Linked DNA regions of Caenorhabditis elegans. The protein of the gene in region 1 interacts with the protein of each later gene in a pairwise test. Each region holds a gene or a part of one and is shown on either strand. Other genes may lie near its edges. The genes, in order: rike-1 and ubc-13.

The links.
Region 2: the proteins of rike-1 (region 1) and ubc-13 interact in a two-hybrid assay, tested with the Caenorhabditis elegans proteins (2 studies listed by BioGRID).

Annotation. Positions count from the first base shown.
Region 1 is NC_003283.11:14,543,154-14,548,057, reverse strand, and holds rike-1 (RING-type domain-containing protein), read left to right. Parts: upstream 1-2,236; coding exon 2,237-2,285; intron 2,286-2,328; coding exon 2,329-2,537; intron 2,538-2,577; coding exon 2,578-3,196; intron 3,197-3,349; coding exon 3,350-3,561; intron 3,562-3,652; coding exon 3,653-3,863; intron 3,864-3,908; coding exon 3,909-4,339; downstream 4,340-4,904. Other genes in the region: C53A5.13 (Fibronectin type-III domain-containing protein), read right to left, coding at 282-333, 657-775, 873-1,019, 1,066-1,117.
Region 2 is NC_003282.8:2,921,823-2,927,416, reverse strand, and holds ubc-13 (Ubiquitin-conjugating enzyme E2 13), read left to right. Parts: upstream 1-1,725; 5' UTR 1,726-1,726; coding exon 1,727-2,006; intron 2,007-3,045; coding exon 3,046-3,213; intron 3,214-4,386; coding exon 4,387-4,394; 3' UTR 4,395-4,826; downstream 4,827-5,594. Other genes in the region: fbxc-45 (F-box C protein), read left to right, coding at 5,188-5,255, 5,301-5,436.

The DNA.
Region 1 (4,904 bases):
TATTGTTTCAATTTTTGATGGGTTTTTTGTCAAGTTTAAGGTTTTTCTAACTAATAGTTGTAACATCGTCAATCTGAATTTCGAAGCTTTTGTCGAAGAAAAAATAAATATTTCAGATCTCATATGAAATCAAATTTTGTGCAGTTTGACAGTTGTTAAAGAAACTGATAAGAATGTTCTAAACGTGGCGCTGTCTAAAAAATCGATCCTGATAGCAAGTTATACTTTGCTAGGTCATTTCTGAATTAAAAATAATATTTTTCAATTAAAAAGTTCAATACCTGCTAGACTTGTTGTTGCCATGTTGCTTGCGTACCAAAGACTTGTTTCATTCTGCAAACGTTTTCAGAAGCTTCATAATTTTCATAAATAATCAACAGCTATATTTTCAAAAATGGATAAAACTACAATTGTTATTTTCTCTAAATATTTGTACTGTGAGTGAGGATTTTCAACCTATATATTTACCTTTTCGTCAAAATAATAATTGTTTTCACAATATCGTCTCTTTAATACATTATATATTTATCAAATTTTTCAGATAGCATCTCTGCCCGAAAGGAGTGGTTCTTCATTTCCGAGGACCGCCACCGCAACAACGTCGGAACTACATAATTTGATATACTTGTTCACAAGAAAGCATTCATATAGGATACCTTGAAAGCTTCCACTGATAGACGGTAAGTTGTGTTTCCAGCTAATCCAATAAATGTGTAGTCGCGCAAAAATGCATCAACCAAAACTGTTTGAGATGATTTTTCCGTTTGTTGTGAACCTGAAATCGTAAAACTCAAATTGGTAAGATAACAATTATATTGTGAGCCTATCATATATTCTATATTCTGAATGTTCAAAATGGCCAGAGCTCGTACTTCTCATAACAGTTACAACTAATCGTTGTCTTGTCACAATTTCTTCATCGGAATCATGTTTCCATCGAATTCGAATTGCGTCATTTCTAACCTCAATTACATCGACACCATCACCTTCTCGATCTTCATCGATATCGTTTTCTCCTGCTAATAATTCGAAACTATTTATAGAACTACGAGCTTATTAACTTACAAACGAGTATTAAGTACGGAATAAAAATCAGAAAGTGTATGGGAAATCGCATTCGAATTAGATTGACGTTGTGAAAACAGAAAAATTAGATTGGATGAAGAGAAAAGGAGAAATCATCGTGTGTCAAAAAGGATAATATTGATAGAATTCTTTCTTGGTCTTTGAAAACGAGAGAAGAGAAAAATAACGAAAATTTGATATCGGTAGGAGAAAGGCATTTTATCGTGTCGCAATAAAAAAAACCTTGAATACAGTAATTCAAACCTGTCCTAATTTTTAGATATCTGTAAAACGAACTGGAAATAAATGAGAAATTCTGTGAAAGGTGGATATAAAATTGCAAATTTCCAACTTTGGCTAATTTCCCTGATCGAATTTTCTCTAAATTTAGAACTGCACAAAAAAGCGAAATTAGAATATGGTGAATGGTTTCAAAATGAGCGTGGCTTCTTCATTAGGTTCAAATAAGTATTAGAAAGAGTTGGGAAATTTTGATTTCAAGCAATTTTTTAAAATCTGAGAAATTTTATATGAGGAAACAGAACATTTCAAATAATGCTAAAACAGTTACTTAAAAGCAATGATTTTCATCATTTTTTAGGATATTCTATTTCCTTTTTTAACCGTGGCAATGTCCGTATGTTTCTCTCATTCTCTTTGTCGACGGATAAACGCGCCTTGCTCATTCTTATTTTATAATATCTTCTAGTTTTCTTCCGAATTTTCGCTGTTCATTGTTTTGTTCCTGTGTTTCAAAATAAAACTATTTCAATATTGCATGTTTTCGAAATTTCTCCAATCGTCAAAATTGAATCACTTTTAAATCTATCGAATTTCTTTCGGATTCGAAATCCAAATGGGTTTTGATAAATTAATGTCAAGCTTCGCGGCCTAGAATCCTTGCGTGTGCAAATGCGCCCTTTCGAAGTATCCGGATATATCCATAAATAATATTTATTTTCCGCCGAAAATTTTCCGGATAGAAATTTATTCGCGTGCCGCACACCACTCATCCGCGCGGAAAATATCTTATTCTTATTTTATTTTAGAAAATCCTTTTGCAAAATCGAATGCGCAAGTTTTCCCTAAAAATCGATAATTTCACACACATTGAACCTCTTTTCAGACAAGACGGGTCAACAGTTGGTTCAAACACAATAATTTTCAAGAAATGTCAATTGTGAATACAACAGAATGCATAATTTGTTATAATGAATATGGTGAGCACATTAATGAATTTCGAAAAAAACTTCTAAATTTCAGACACCGAACTCCGGAAACCTTGCATAGGCACATGCGGCCACTCCATATGTGAAAGTTGCAAACATCAAATGGTCTCATCAAAATGTCCACAGTGCAATCGAGAAGAAGCCTTCGCAATTACTACAATCAATTATCAAGTTTTAGAATTAATAAAGCACTTTAAAAGTATGCAAAGTGGGGGAGTAGCGCCACAGGCACAATCCACAAATGTAAGTATAATTTCCTTTTTCTATAAAAACCCAGAAAAAGTTTTTGCAGAGCTTAGACGAAGGAACATGCAGTGAGTGCACCCTACATTCCAAGAAATTACGAATTTGTAAAACGTGCGCCGTCGGAAAAGGAGTTCTGAAGCAAGCCGAAGGCAAAAAAGAATTAGTATTAGTTGTTGGAGATGATGGAGTCGATGAAGCAATGACACGAGCTAAGAAGATGGCGATTTGCGGTGATTGTGCTTTGGATGGGGCCCAACACGAAGGACATCAGACAATGCAGCTGGCTCTTTTGAAAAATAGTATCGAAGATCAAGCACCGACTAATCTCGGAAATAAAATCAGTAAAATCAGTGAGCTTTCGAAGCAGGTGTGCGATGATATCTCTGACAAATTTGCGGCGACAATTAAATCACTTCAAAATTACTTCGAAAAGCATGAAAAGTTGTCTCCGCCCGGAAGAAAGACTCACTTCAACAACATCGAAGCTGAAATGGAGAAAATAAGTGATACGATAGCTCTTGTCAAAGATGCTGGAACACGATTGGATTTTTTGAATAACGAAATCGAAGAGCACGATCGAATCGTTTTTCAAACTAAACAACCTGTTACTAAGGCAAATTTCGTTTTCGCTAGTCAGGATCCCGTATTGGTTGCAGGTAAAAGTTATATTTATGTTGTGCATTCTTGAACGAAAAAAGCTCATCGCGACGCTCGCGTGTCGTTCGTTGTTATCATGCTTTTGCATTTTATACAGACTCCTCCCGCGATTCCAGTCTAAAAAATCTCTCAAAATTATTCTTTTTTTCCAGATCGAAAGCAGAGTGCCCGTGAACCACTTTTGATTGGAGTCTACGATCCTAAAAACAGAGGATGGACGCCAGTTGGGCGAATGCCGAACCCAAAATCAAACTACGCTGTTGCCTGCAGCAAATCTCAAATTTATATAGTCGGAGGAATGAATAACGGATCATGGTTGAACAACGTTGAAATGTATGATCGGGAGAAAAACTTGCGAAGAGATGTGGGTTATTCTTTCAGCTTTTAAAAAATTCTCTAGAATTGTAAACTTTTAAAACAAATAATTTTTATTGATTTCAACAAAAATGTCAAAGTTATTACAGTGTAATAAAATGAAGCGTGGAAGAACACGAACGTCGGCGGGAATCCATAACAACAAAATGTACGTGGCCGGTGGATATGATAGCACTTATATGAATTCTGTGGAAGTTTATGATACTGATCAAGGAGAGTGGAAGGATGGACCATCGTTGCAAAGGCCTCGTGCCGATGCAGCGGTTGTTCCATGCAATGGAGAGGTTTATGGTATGATTTCGATTAATTAGTTGATTAAAAAAGGTTTAATTTCAGTGTTGGGAGGTTTCAATGGAAAAGAATATGAAGAGAAGATTGAGAAGCTGTCAGAACCTGGTCAAAAGTTCGAAATTGTGGGCGACATGCAAGGAAGTCGCGCCGGATTTGGATCGTGTGCCTTCAGAGGAAGAATCTACATTGCTGGTGGATGGAGTAACTCGAGTAATACGTTGAGATCAGTTCGAAGCTATGATCCATTGACGAAATCATGGAGAGATGAGCCATCGTTGAGCAAAGATCGAAAATATTTCACTCTTCACTCGACGAACGAAGCTATTTATGCTATTCGCGGATGTGCTGACAATTGGAGCTTAATCAATGAAGTCGAGCGATTTGATCCAGAAAAACGTGCATGGGAGATTATTAGTTGCTCCGGACCAATGGTTGGAGCCGGTTCATCTGCATCGAATGAGCAAGCTATTACATAAAATCGTGTATCTTATTTTCATAAAAACAGCTGTTGTATGAGCTGTACTCGTTGATTTTCGGTTTGGCGTTAACCTTTGAGACCAATCAGTTTACTGTTTTGGAGACCCGAAGAACTCGGGGGATGTCCAATTGGGGGGATTACCAACTCGGGGGATTGGCCCCGCCCACAGAACCGGGGCTTGCAATACGCCCATTTTTGCAACTGCCGCACGGTTTTGAAACTGTATTTTTCTTGTTAATTCTCGCTCTATTGAGAAAAATACAGTTTCGAAACCGTGCAGTTGCAGAAATGGGCGTATTGCCAGCCACGGTTCTGTGGGCGGGGCCAATCCCCCGAGTTGGTAATCCCCCCAATTGGACATCCCCCGAGTTCTTCGGGTCTTCTGTTTTGTGACTGATTACCAAAAATCCAACTTGCTCATTATTCATATCTAGCTGAAACCTAGTACTATTAAACGTATTATTTAAATTTTAGGATCTTTCCATTTTTCTGTCTCTCTGTAAAATGTAATTATGAATTTCGTGCCCCCAAAAACTTTTTATAATTTTTAACTCATTTTTTTC
Region 2 (5,594 bases), on another chromosome or scaffold:
TGATTTTCGAAGATTTACGGTCGAAAACTGGCATTTTTAGGCTGAAAATATCGATTTTCACCTTAAAAACCTCCAAAAACCAATTTTATCGATTTCGAAACGTTATTATTGATGGAAAATACGTAAAAATGGAAAATAATACCCATTTTCAGCTTTTTCAACGCCGAAAAATCAATTTTCGGCGATATTTTCTACTAAAATTACCGAAAAATGTGATTTTTCCGCAAAAATATGCGATTTCATAACAGTTTTCGTTGGGAAATGCACAGAAATCCAATTTTTCTAAAAATTTCGCAAAGGAATTGATTTTTTACTTAAATTACCGTTAAATTTATACATTTTTAGTATAAAAATTAAGATTTCGCGTGGATAACGAGAATTTACAGCGTTTTTTTGCTGAAAATATCGATTTTCTCGAATTTAGCGTTTTCAAAATGCTCAAAACGTCGAAAATTCAGTTTTTGGCATTATTTTTGATGGAAAATACGTCAAAAATGCCAATTTTCACTCTGAAATGCACATAAATCCTATTTTTTCGAAATTTCACTGTTGAATTGATTTTTTCACTCAAACTACCGGTGAATTTACATATTTTCAGATGAAAAACTGAAAGCTCCCGTAGAAAACGCGTCTTTTTCAACATTTTGGTGCTGAAAATATCGATTTTCCGCAAAAATAACGAATTCGTAATGCCAAAAACGTCAAAAATACACATTTTTGCGTTTATTTTTGATTAAAATTACTCCAAAATGTCAGTTTTCTGCAAAAATATGCGATTTCATCACTGTTTTCCATGGAAACTGCACAAAAATCCAATTTTGCCATTATTTTGCACCGAAATCGATTTTTTTCTCCAAAAAAATTATTCGAAATCGTGAAAAGCGAGCGTTTTTTAATGTTGGAAATCACAAAAAACCCAATTTTATCGATTTTTGGCCGACGTTTACGTTGAAAACTCGAGGAAAACAGTTTTTTAATTGAAAAATTCATAGTTTCCCGCAGAAAATTAGATATTTTAACTTTTTGTACTAAAAAAAATGGCATTTTTCCGATATTTCGAGAAAAACTTCGATTTTTAATTAAAAAACCTTGAATTATTAGTCTTTTTTCTTTTATTTCAGCCAAAATTTATACATTTATACATTTTTTTCTTCAGTTTTCACCATTTTGCACTCAAAAATCCGTCTAATTGTTGAATTTTTAACAGAAAAACAGTTTTTCGCTGGGAAAAGCTCTAAAATCACTCAAAAACCATCAAATTTATTCCACTTTTCCATGGAAACTGCACAAAAATCCAATTTTGCTATTATTTTGCACCAAAATCGATTTTTTTTTCCAAAAAAATTATTCCAAATCGCTAAAAACGAGCATTTTTTTGGTTGGAAATGCCAAAAACACAATTTTATCGATTTTTGGCCGATGTTTACGTTGAAAATTCGAGGAAAACAGTTTTTTAAAGTAAAAATTCATAGTTTCCCCTAGGAAATTAGATATTTTAACTTTTTTTTTGCGGAAAATGGCCCTTTTCCGATATTTCGAGAAAAAACTTTGATTTTTAATTAAAAAACCTTGAATTATTAGTCTTTTTTCTTTTATTTCAGCCAAAATTTATACATTTATATATATTTTTTTATTCAGTTTTCACCATTTTGCACTCAAAAATCCGTTTTTCTAATAGAAAAATCAGCTTAAAAGCCCCAAAACACACAATAAAATTTCTTGCAGAATGGCCGGGCAACTTCCGCGTCGAATCATCAAAGAGACACAACGACTTCTCGCGGATCCGGTTCCCGGAATATCGGCAAATCCAGACGAGAGCAACGCCAGATACTTCCATGTCATGATAGCCGGGCCAGACGATTCTCCATTTGCTGGTGGTGTCTTCAAGTTGGAGCTTTTCCTTCCGGAAGAGTATCCGATGGCTGCACCGAAAGTTCGATTCATGACAAAGATCTATCATCCGAATATTGATAAACTCGGCAGAATTTGTCTCGATATTCTCAAGGGTGAATAGATTTTCCCCTTTTTTTGAAAAATTAGTGAAAAAATTTTTTAAAAAACGGTTTTTAGCGTTTTAATCAATTATTTTTAGAGAATTTTCTGAATTTTCATCGAAATTTGCTATTTTTACACTGTTTTAACACAAATTTATTGATAAAATTCAGAAATCTAGCTTTTTTGGATATTTTTACTTGAAATTTTTCGAAAAACAGCCCATTTTCAACAATATTCACGAGTTTAGATGAATTTTTTGTATTTTTTAATATTTAAATCAAATTTAGCTCTTTTTGAGCGTATAAATCCGAATTTCATGCTCATTTTTCGCATAATGAGAAAATAATCCAAAAAATATGAATTTTTACGCATTTTAATGGGAAAAATGGATCAAAAACAGCTTATTTTGAGCGTTTTTTGACAAAATAGACGAAATTTCGAGAAAAATCGTGTTTTTTTTTGTTCTAATAAATATATTTAGGTGCATTCGAATGCGAATTTCTCGAAATTTAATTTTAAAAAACCCTCTTTTTGTGAAATTTTTTTCAAAGAAACTGCGAAAATGTATCATTTTTGCGCATTTTTAACCAAATTTCATCGAAAATCTCGGAAAACGGCGTTTTTTTGGCAATTTTTATTCAAAATTGCGAAAATTTCGGCGAACCCCCAGTTTTCGAGGGACATTTTCAATTTATGATCGAAATTAGCTATTTTTAATCATTCTAAAGCGAATTTCTTGTTAAAATTGCTGAAAAATCTGATTTTTTAGTAATTTCAATGGAGAGATAGTAAAATTCGATTTTTAATTACAAATTTCGTGTAATTTCTTCGAAAACTTCTTTATTTTTGCGCATTTTTTCCAATTTTTATCGAAAAATTACTCCAAAAGAAAGCATTTCGATAGATATATCTCATTTTTTGCGCATTTTAATCAAATTATCCATAGAAAAGTTCAATTTTTCGGCTATTTTAATGCGAATTATCTCGAAAAACTGCTCATTTTGAGCTTTTTCACATGAATTTCTCGAAAAAAAATGCCCAATTTTTCAGATAAATGGTCGCCGGCTCTTCAAATTCGCACGGTTCTTCTGTCGATTCAGGCTCTTCTTTCGGCTCCAAATCCGGAAGATCCACTGGCAACTGATGTCGCCGAGCAATGGAAAACGAATGAGGCCGAGGCGATTAAGACTGCAAAACAATGGACGATGAACTATGCTCGTCAGTAATATATCTAGGGTCTCGCCACGAAATCGATGAAAATTTGCAATTCTTTTGAAGCCAAAATCGAAAATTCGACCTCATGTCGATTTACGCCGATCGTGTACTCCCCGAGGAGAAGTTGGAATGATTTTTATACAGTTTTTGACCTTTTTAACATTAAAACTATCAAAAAATGGCTCGTAAATCCGATTTCCAGCCGAAAACTGCTTTTACGCCACTAAAAATATCGATTTTCACGGAAAACACTGTAATTTACGGCTAAATTTGCTATATTTAAGTAAAATTTCAGGAAAAGTCGACGAAAACGGCGAAAAACAATACTTTTAGCGCAATTATGGAGCCAAAATCGAAAAATCGAACTAAAAATCCCTGAAATTGGCGCATGTCGATTTACGTCAACTCGTGTACTCCCCGAGGAGAAGTGGGGGTGAAAAAAACGGGTTTTAAGGTGAAAATTATTGATTTTGGCCTATTTTTTCTAATTTGAACGTTTAAATCATCAATTTTTGCTCGGAATTATAGCTTTTTTGATAAATTTTTATTTTCGAATTTTTTTTAGTTTTTCAACCTTTAAAAAATCGAAAATAAAAATTTATCAGAAACACTATAATTTAGACCTAAATTGGTGATTTAAAGATTCAAATCAGGAAAAAATAGGCCAACATCAACAATTTTCGCCTCAAAATCCATGTGCTTCACCCCTCTTCTCCGCGGGGAGTACACGAGCTGCGTAAATCGACATGTGCCAATTTCGGAGGTTTCTAGTTCGATTTTTCGATTTTTGCTCCAAAATTGCGCTAAAATGATTGATTTTGGACCGTTTTCGCATCGACTTTTCCACAAATTTTACATAACTATAACAACTTTAGCGCTAAATTCCAGTTTTTCAGTGAAAATCGAAGTATTTAGTGTCTTAAAAGCAGTTTTCAGCTGGAAATTGAATTTATGAGCCATTTTTTTGGTAGTTTTAATGTTAAAAAACTGTATAAAAATCATTCCCACTTCTCCTCGAGGAGTACACGGGCTGCGTAAATCGACCCTTCGAATTTTCGATTTCGGCTCTGAAAACAGTAGATTTTCCTAGTTTTCGCTGTGGGACCCAACAATAAATATGCATTTTAATAAATTTTTTTTAACAATTTAAAAAATAAATTAATAATTTTTTTTCAGAAGCCTGATCGTCTCCGAAGCTCGCCTCTAGAACAACTACAAAAAATCACATCAAACAAAAAAAAATTCGAAATTCTCTCAGCCTGCTCTTTGTCCCGCCTTTTCCCGCCCCCTTACGAACTTCCAATAAATTGTATGAATTGCATAAAAATCTCGATTTTCCCCATCTTCTACTATATATCTAAATATTGATTTTTTTTGTCCCCGCCCGGTTTTTTGTCTCGAAATTCTACAATTTCCTCCCCATCCCATTGAATTTTTTAAAAAATTTTTTTGTCTCTGTTGTCTCACGATCCTCATCAAACCGTCGTCGTCCATTTAATTTAAATTCTTCTTTTTTTCTCCCAGTTTCCAGAAAATCTTCTTCCATCGAAATTGATTTTTTTTTCTCTTTTGGAAATTTTGATGATTTTTTGAATAAAGTCGTTATTTTTTTTGAGAATTTTTGAGAAATTTTTGAAGGCATTTCCAGCAGTAGCCTGATGGTTTTCAACCGGAAAAAATGCAAGAATAAATAGAAGAATAAATAGTAGATATTGTGATAGAAATTTTAAAAACTGGAAACTGCCTGAATCGCCGATTGCCGAAAGTGAGAAATGCCGAAAAAATGCACGCTGATATTACTGTAAATTTAAAGGGACACACAGTATCTTGTTGCATGGGTTTCATCGCGATGTGTTCAACTGTAGCTTTTTGATTTTTCTTTCGATTTTTCGAATTTTAACTGTGTTTTTTCATGTTTTTCTTGCGAAATTTGAAGCAATTACCGATAAAAAATTTTTAATTCAGATTTCTGCAAACATGGACTCGAAGCCACTCACCTATCTATCCATGCAGTGCATTATCAAACACTTGGAGGCGAATAAAAGGTGAGACAAACAGTTTCTGTAATTAACTAAATACATAATTCTCAGATTCCGACTGGCCGCACAATGCCCATCTCTTGTAAAGATCGAAAAATCGCAACCTCTGATTATCAAGAAGCTGGAATTCAATCGTAGTACAATCTCTGTCAATGGAGTGAAATACAAACTTGGTGCTAGGAACAATGTATGAATTTTTGCCATTCTAGACGAGGGTGTCGGTTTTAAGTATTTTACTAAATTCTTTTGAAAATAAAAACGAAAAATTCGTTTTTTTTTCTCAAATCGAAAATTTTTCGCCATTTTAAATCTAATAATGATAACTTTTTGGTTTTTTTCTCACTA